2 linked regions of the Arabidopsis thaliana genome follow. The protein of the gene in region 1 interacts with the protein of each later gene in a pairwise test. Each region holds a gene or a part of one and is shown in the gene's direction. Other genes may lie near its edges.

Evidence for each region.
Region 2: the proteins of AT5G25280 (region 1) and HAM2 interact in a two-hybrid assay, tested with the Arabidopsis thaliana proteins (one large-scale study listed by BioGRID).

The regions. Positions count from the first base shown.
Region 1 is NC_003076.8:8,772,137-8,776,068, forward strand, and holds the start of AT5G25280 (serine-rich protein-like protein), read left to right. Parts: upstream 1-1,652; 5' UTR 1,653-1,745; coding exon 1,746-2,408; 3' UTR 2,409-2,908; exon of another isoform or gene 2,909-3,028; 3' UTR 3,029-3,932.
Region 2 is NC_003074.8:22,410,779-22,414,710, reverse strand, and holds the start of HAM2 (GRAS family transcription factor), read left to right. Parts: upstream 1-2,047; 5' UTR 2,048-2,343; coding exon 2,344-3,932.

The DNA.
Region 1 (3,932 bases):
ACAAAGCAAAAAATGTATTTATAATATGTAAACACGTCGATGGTTCGCCGACCTTTCAAACCGAAAGAAGTTGATAGCACTATTATGAAGACCGATTAATTAAGTTTGAATCGGAATTTGAATTCTAAAAAGCCGGTTTATTTAAATGATTAAAATGCAACCTACGTCGTACTTAGTTGATTATAGTTTAATATGTTTATGGTAGTCACAAAAATTGTCTAATTAGTCGCATTTTTATGAATTCTTTTTTCTTTCCTTGTTGGACAAGGGATGCTTAACTATTATTATTCGTAGGGTTTTATGTTCAGAGACAATGTTTCCAAACGATTCATCTACATTTGACAGTAGAAAATCAAAATATCACAACAAAACGTGTGCTTTTTGCTTTGTAGCTAGACTGTGAATTAGCATTTTCTTAAGTTTTATTAATTTTAAAACTGTGAAAGGAAGCTAAAAGTCTAAAACCATATGCCACCAAAATGATCCTATTATAACTTACTGAATTTAAACATGCATTATAAACCATAATTTTGTAATTGATCTAAAAATAAAATAATAATTATTCCTCTTTGAAGTTGTTACGTTTTGGTTTTGGTTTCTTTATGTTAAATTTGATTTGCTTCTCGAAGTTTGAAGACAACTTTTACCTCTAAAATGACTCTTAAATTCTATGTTTTTTGTTGAAAAATATAGTTTGATTCCAATTAAAGTTTAGATATATTGCGATGTATTTTAAATCTAGTTATGATTGATATTAATTTTTTGAATCTAGTTATGGTTGATATTATTTTACTAAGTACATTATTATCATTTCTTTTTACAAACTGTATTCCGACACTTAATTTTCACGGTATGTTTTATAAGAGAAAATATCCGCAAAACATATTACAGAGTAGAATAAATCCTTTCTCCTTTATATTTATATTATTTAATACTTAACTCTATCAAAATATCCTCAACATTTATAAATATGAAAAACAAAATCAGTAGTCAGTGAACATAAAAAAAATTATCGAAAATTTTACGATGAGTAAAGATCCTCTCTTTATTTCTCAAGTAAAGCAATAATCAGAAAAAGCTAAATTGAGTTATCAAAAGCAGTTTATCTAACAAATGTTAATTAACTTTTTCTGGTTTAATATTATTGTTCACTAACCATGCATAATCGTATAACAACAAAAATAATCTCATTGGTACCATTACATCAAATAATAAATAGCGGGAAGATAAACATAGAAAAAGTGATAAAACAATCTGCTTCAAGAAAAAGATACCCCAGTGGACGACTAGGGTCAATGAAAATGAAAACAGAGACAAATGGCAATTCGTAATTATTCACATTTATTTCAGGGTACTTTCGTAAATCCCCAACCTGACCGTTTCTCGAATCTGATTACGTGGCAGTCATCACAAATGCCCACAAAAGCACTTCGCTGAAACTCAATCTCAGTCGTTAGATCAGAATCCAATTCTTTTCAATACGGCAAGTTGAGATCCCCAAACCCATCATGTGTAACCATGGTTAAGTCAATTAACCCAACACATAGAAATCTCCTAAAATCACCAAAAAGGTCACGAACTTTCTCGTTAATTACATAAAATGCCATTCTTCGCTTTAGCTATAAATTCGTCTTCTGAGACTCGCTAGGTTTGCCGAACCAATCACCCTAAGGGGACACTTAAAGAGAGAAACAAATCCTTCTTCTAAAATATTCTTCAATCTTCTTCTCGAAGCTTCTCCAAAAATGGCGATTACTTCTTCTAGAACCACCAGATCAAACGGATCTGCTTCGCTCCGATCCAAATCACCGTCCGGTCGATTCTGTGGCGTTTACTCAAACCGTATGCCGTCATCATCTCCGTCGTCGTCAGGTTTCGCTTCTTCCACAAGCTCAAGTTTCTCCTCACCGTCTACAGCGTTTTTCAGCAGCCACAATCAGAACAACCACCACCAACACAGATCTGCTTCTCCGACGCGTGTGAATCTATTCACATCAGCTCCGATGACGCAATCGTTTCGTTACTCAATCGATAACAGATCTATATCACCGAATCGATCCATCGCTGTTTCTTCCAACAAACCTAGCAATCATCACAAGATTCCGGATTCGAGGAGAAGATGTATGTGCTCTCCGACAACGCATCCTGGTTCATTCCGGTGTAGTCTACACAAGAACGTCGCGAATCCACATGGTCAAGGTACAGCTTCGTATACAACGAATGGATTGAATATGCGTCGATCTGCGATGACGAATTCTCTTGTGAGAATTGGTGGTGTTGAAGGTGAATGGGTGCGAAGAGCTTTGACTACTTTGATTAGACCATCTTCACATCAACTAAAGAGAAGATCTGCTTATGAGCCTCGTCGTAGTAGACTCGCATCTATGTCGAAAGCAGAAGATCTTTGAATCTCTCTTCAGGTTTGTTCTTGTTTTTGATATACTCAGATCTGCCATGAACGAGTTGAATCAAGGAGCAGAATCGGAGCTGAGTCATACCGGACCGAGTCAAATTCGGAGCTGAGTTATACCGGACCGAGTTATGTAAAACGGTGACTAAGACGACACCGTTTTTGTTTTGTTGGGTGGGAGATGAGATGATGATGATGCATTGTACATACACATATTGCTTATTGAAGCAGAACAAAAAAATTTCGCAAGTCGAAAGTATCTAGAAATCTAAAAATGGAAAATAGTAGTGACGAATTGGGTAATTAAAATCTGGAAAAGGACTTAGTAGTAAATATTGTTTGGATTCAACTTTGCAAATCTCTCCATCTCCATTGTTCGTTGCCTTCACCGTTAGTTTGTTCCGTCAAGTCAACGTTCTCTATTCTCCGTCGTTGACCCGTTCTGTTTGCCGTTAACCGTCGTCGTGTGTTATGTGTGTTCCGTTATTATTTCTCCAGGTATGTGTTGTTCGTCGTGTCAGGTATGTATTTTCCGTTTCTTATTTATTTGGTTAATTTCGTTTTACTTTTTTTGTGCACGTTTGATCTGTTTTTTTTTTTTTGGTTTGTCTTTTTCAGGTTTCGTACAATGAGGAGAAGATGATTACTTAACCGTTACGTTCAACTTTGGAATATTTTGGGTTTGTGGACTTTGGAAGAAAAATGAATTTGGACTATGAGAAAAATCAAATATATGACCTAAAACACGGAGAATTTGATAAAGGACGATCGAATATGAGTGATTTTGATTCGTGGAACGATTAAGGTTTTGGTTTTGGAGCTGGAGAATGTGAAAGATTCGAAGGAATCAGATTTTTCTCTGGAATTTGTGAATCACAGATTTAGATTCCTGAAACGGTTGAGGTTAAAGTGAAAAGATTCAATGAAATCATATTTTTACCATAAATATCTCAAGAAGGATATGGTAAATGATGAAATTCGTGAGGGTAAGTTTGGAAAGTAAAAGATTCTTGAACGGTATATATGAGAAAAGGACAGCTGGCCGATGAATTGAGAACAGCCCAACACGATTACGTTGGGGATTCCAACGTCTTCCTTATCTCGAGGGATTAAAGTTGGATTATACTATTGTATGCATAGGTCGATTTTATAGATCCCTTGATTAATTGGTTAATTAAATATAAACTATACTCCTTAGGTTTGCTTTAGTTGACTGATTATATCGTAATCTCTAAGTACTAGGTTCTGTGTAACCTTTTCTTCACGGTAGATGATGGATGCACTTTTTGTTAATTTGGTTTTGATTGTGTTGGATTATTCTGTACTTTCTTTACTCGTTTAGTTTACTTGACTATTTTTATATATCTGTAACTCTTTCTATATGTTTTCTCATTGTTTTTGGAAGTTGAATATGATTTACTCTATTTTCTTCTAAACATCATAAAATGATACGAAATTTATAATGTTTTAGGCAAAAAACGATCACGATTTTCTTAGAGTTCCTCTAGGACCACCAGAGGTA
Region 2 (3,932 bases), on another chromosome or scaffold:
AACATAAAAATTGAAAACTTTAAATAAAGAGAAAACAGAAAGCTTTGCCCGTGAGTCGAGGTTAGCAAAGGAGACTATATACCGTCTATTTTGAGGACTTTAAGTTTATTTTGGGAAATTAGCAAATCTAAAAACATAGTGGAAGTGAATTGCAAATATGACATTTGACATAAACTGAGATAATTTGGTTACAGGGTTAATATATTTCTACATCGAAGTTAATTTTTTTACTTGTTTTATATCACTGTAACCAAATTACATGAATTTCCGTGAAACCGAATCACGAGTATGTATGCAAGGTAACACACGGTCGATGTGTCCCTCCACTAGCCAGTCATCAACCTATAGAATGTATAGAATGAGTTGATTAAATTACGCAAATTGGTCATTTTTTAATCCTAAAATATAACAACAAAGCAGAAAGAAATACTAGTTTAATAGAATACATGTTGTTAGACATATTACAAGGTGGTGGAAATTCACATGGAGGTTTCTTGTTTGTCTTGGAGGAAAAAAAACATGTCTCCCATTATTACAATGTCCAATTACAAAGATTTTTGTTTTTATATTATTTTGGCTTAAAAAATAGAAATATGTTTAGGGCAATCACATAAGCCATGTCTCCCTTCCATTCACACACAAACTACCAAAAGTTCCAACTTGTCTTCGCAATCCAGCTCCACCTCTTTTCTTTTTAATCTCCTTTTGGTATCCTCTATTCTATTACCGCCACCAATAAACGGCCACTTAAGTATTTCAAGTTTGTCAAAGAAGTGAAAAAAAGAAGAAGAAATGATATAGATGATTTTAGAAAAGAATGGTGGAATAAAACGATTTGATTATCGCAAACACGTGTAAACATCAACTAACATAGGCTAAAGATTTGTCATAATTTTAGTTTTGACCGTGTCTACTTGTCGTTCAAAATTAAACTTGATTAGCAAATGCAAGATTTTATAGTCAATATGTCATTTATTAGTTAGTTTATAAAAAATCTAGACTAGAGCCATGAGATCTTCTCCAGAGTTCATGCAATTTCAACCGTTAGATAAAAAAAAAAAACAGAGTGTGTTAATAGAAAGCAAGGGTAATTATGGAAAACAATGATTAACAATAAAGCCATCTGTATCAAATTCGCTTTTTGCTCTGAAACCTCGGTATATGTTTTTGATTTTTTTAATAGTACTGTCTTTCAGATTGATCGTTATCTAACGCGCCTCAACAGTTCTGGACTATTGAATTACTTACTGTAAGACAATCAACTAATAACTGACTCTTTTAGGTTTTTGGGTTTCGACAATTCAATTTATTTTCTTTCTTTTCTTCATACTCCTATTACTTATTTAGTTTGATCTAATGAATTATACACTATATGATCCCATATTCTTAATAAATAAGTAAATAATTTTGACTATTTTAAGTATTTTTACGATTTCGCTCTCAAAATGTTTTTTACCTGTAATTTCAAAAATAAATTTGACACATCCTTTTTTTTTTGTCAAACATTTGACACATCCTTTAAGTAAACAAATCTATTGGTTTGAAGAAAAAAGAACAAAAATCTTTTGGTTCATTTTCATTTGACCCTTGACTTAGTTTTTATACATATATAATGAAGTATATTTTTACTATCATACTATTTAATATAAAACATGTTACTGCACATATATATTAAATCACCCAATTGCTATTTCACTAAATAACAAATTATTTTACAAGATGCAAGTTTATTTTATAAATCGAACAAAATTTACGAAAAATGTAGAATAGTAATTTTGTCGATATGCATAAAATTTATTGGTTTCCTTGTTTTTTTTTTCCTCAATCCAGTGTTTTCCTTATTTATTATGTTGTCATCATAGTAATTTAGTCAATTTATGATTAAGGCTAAATTTATTCGATTAATGACACTTTGATTTCGATTTTCATGGCTTAAACTTATATAATCAATGATCTCTTGGAGAGTAAGAGTGACGCGCCGTAAGTGCGAGTAGGGTTAGAAACGAGGGGATATAAAATGAGTACAGATGTAGATAAGTAAATCTACAGACACAAGGCACCACACACACAGCAAAAACCAAATCCTTTACTTAAAAAAAAAAAAAAGAGAGCATTTTTTATGAAGATCATCACTTTGGAATGTTGTTGGAATCATCCAGAGTCAATATACATAAGCAACGAGAAGAAAGATTGTTATTAATACCGAGTGTGAGATAATGTGGGCGCCAATTTCAGTTTCAAGCTTTCATCTTCGTCTTCCTCTTTAAGTTCTGAGATCTAGGGTTTTTCTGGGTTTCTTTGTTCTCACTCTTAAATTCTCTTTCTGACTCTGTAAGATTGGTCATGCCCCTGCCCTTTGAGCAATTTCAAGGGAAGGGGGTTCTGGGTTTCTTAGATTCTTCTTCTTCTCCGGGATACAAAATCTGGGCTAATCCAGAGAAGCTCCATGGACGAGTAGAAGAAGATCTCTGCTTTGTTGTCAACAATGGTGGTTTCTCGGAGCCGACGTCTGTTTTAGACTCTGTTAGAAGTCCAAGCCCTTTCGTCTCTTCTTCAACCACCACGCTGTCTTCTTCTCACGGTGGTCCCAGCGGCGGCGGCGCTGCTGCTGCTACTTTTTCCGGCGCCGATGGGAAATGCGACCAAATGGGTTTCGAGGATCTCGATGGTGTTCTCTCCGGTGGCTCGCCGGGACAAGAACAGAGTATTTTTAGATTAATCATGGCTGGCGATGTAGTGGATCCGGGTTCGGAGTTTGTGGGTTTCGACATCGGTTCTGGATCCGACCCGGTTATTGATAATCCTAATCCACTCTTTGGATATGGCTTCCCTTTTCAAAACGCACCGGAAGAAGAAAAGTTTCAGATTTCAATAAACCCAAATCCGGGTTTCTTCTCGGATCCTCCGTCGTCTCCTCCTGCGAAACGGCTCAATTCGGGTCAACCCGGATCTCAACACCTCCAGTGGGTTTTCCCGTTCTCGGATCCGGGTCACGAATCTCACGACCCGTTTCTCACACCGCCAAAGATAGCCGGAGAAGACCAAAACGACCAAGACCAGTCAGCGGTAATCATCGACCAGCTATTCTCTGCGGCGGCGGAGCTCACCACAAACGGCGGAGATAACAATCCCGTTCTCGCGCAAGGGATATTGGCGCGGCTCAATCACAACCTTAACAACAACAACGACGACACTAACAACAATCCTAAACCTCCGTTCCACAGAGCAGCTTCGTATATAACAGAAGCTCTTCACTCTCTCCTTCAAGACTCATCATTATCACCACCGTCTCTCTCACCTCCTCAAAACCTAATCTTTCGGATCGCAGCTTACAGAGCTTTCTCAGAAACGTCACCGTTTCTTCAATTCGTCAACTTCACAGCAAACCAAACGATTCTCGAGTCATTCGAAGGGTTTGATCGGATCCACATTGTCGATTTCGATATCGGTTATGGAGGTCAATGGGCGTCTCTGATTCAAGAGCTCGCCGGAAAAAGAAACAGATCTTCATCAGCTCCGTCGCTAAAGATTACAGCTTTCGCTTCTCCTTCAACTGTCTCCGACGAATTCGAGCTCCGATTCACTGAAGAAAATCTCAGAAGCTTCGCCGGCGAAACAGGTGTCTCCTTCGAAATCGAGCTCTTAAACATGGAGATTCTCTTGAATCCAACTTATTGGCCACTGTCTTTATTCCGATCATCGGAGAAAGAAGCAATCGCTGTGAATCTCCCAATCAGCTCCATGGTCTCCGGTTACCTCCCATTGATACTTCGTTTCCTCAAGCAAATCTCACCAAACGTCGTCGTTTGCTCAGACAGAAGCTGCGACCGTAACAACGACGCGCCGTTCCCTAACGGTGTGATTAACGCGCTTCAGTACTACACATCTCTGCTCGAGTCTCTCGACTCTGGGAATCTGAATAATGCGGAAGC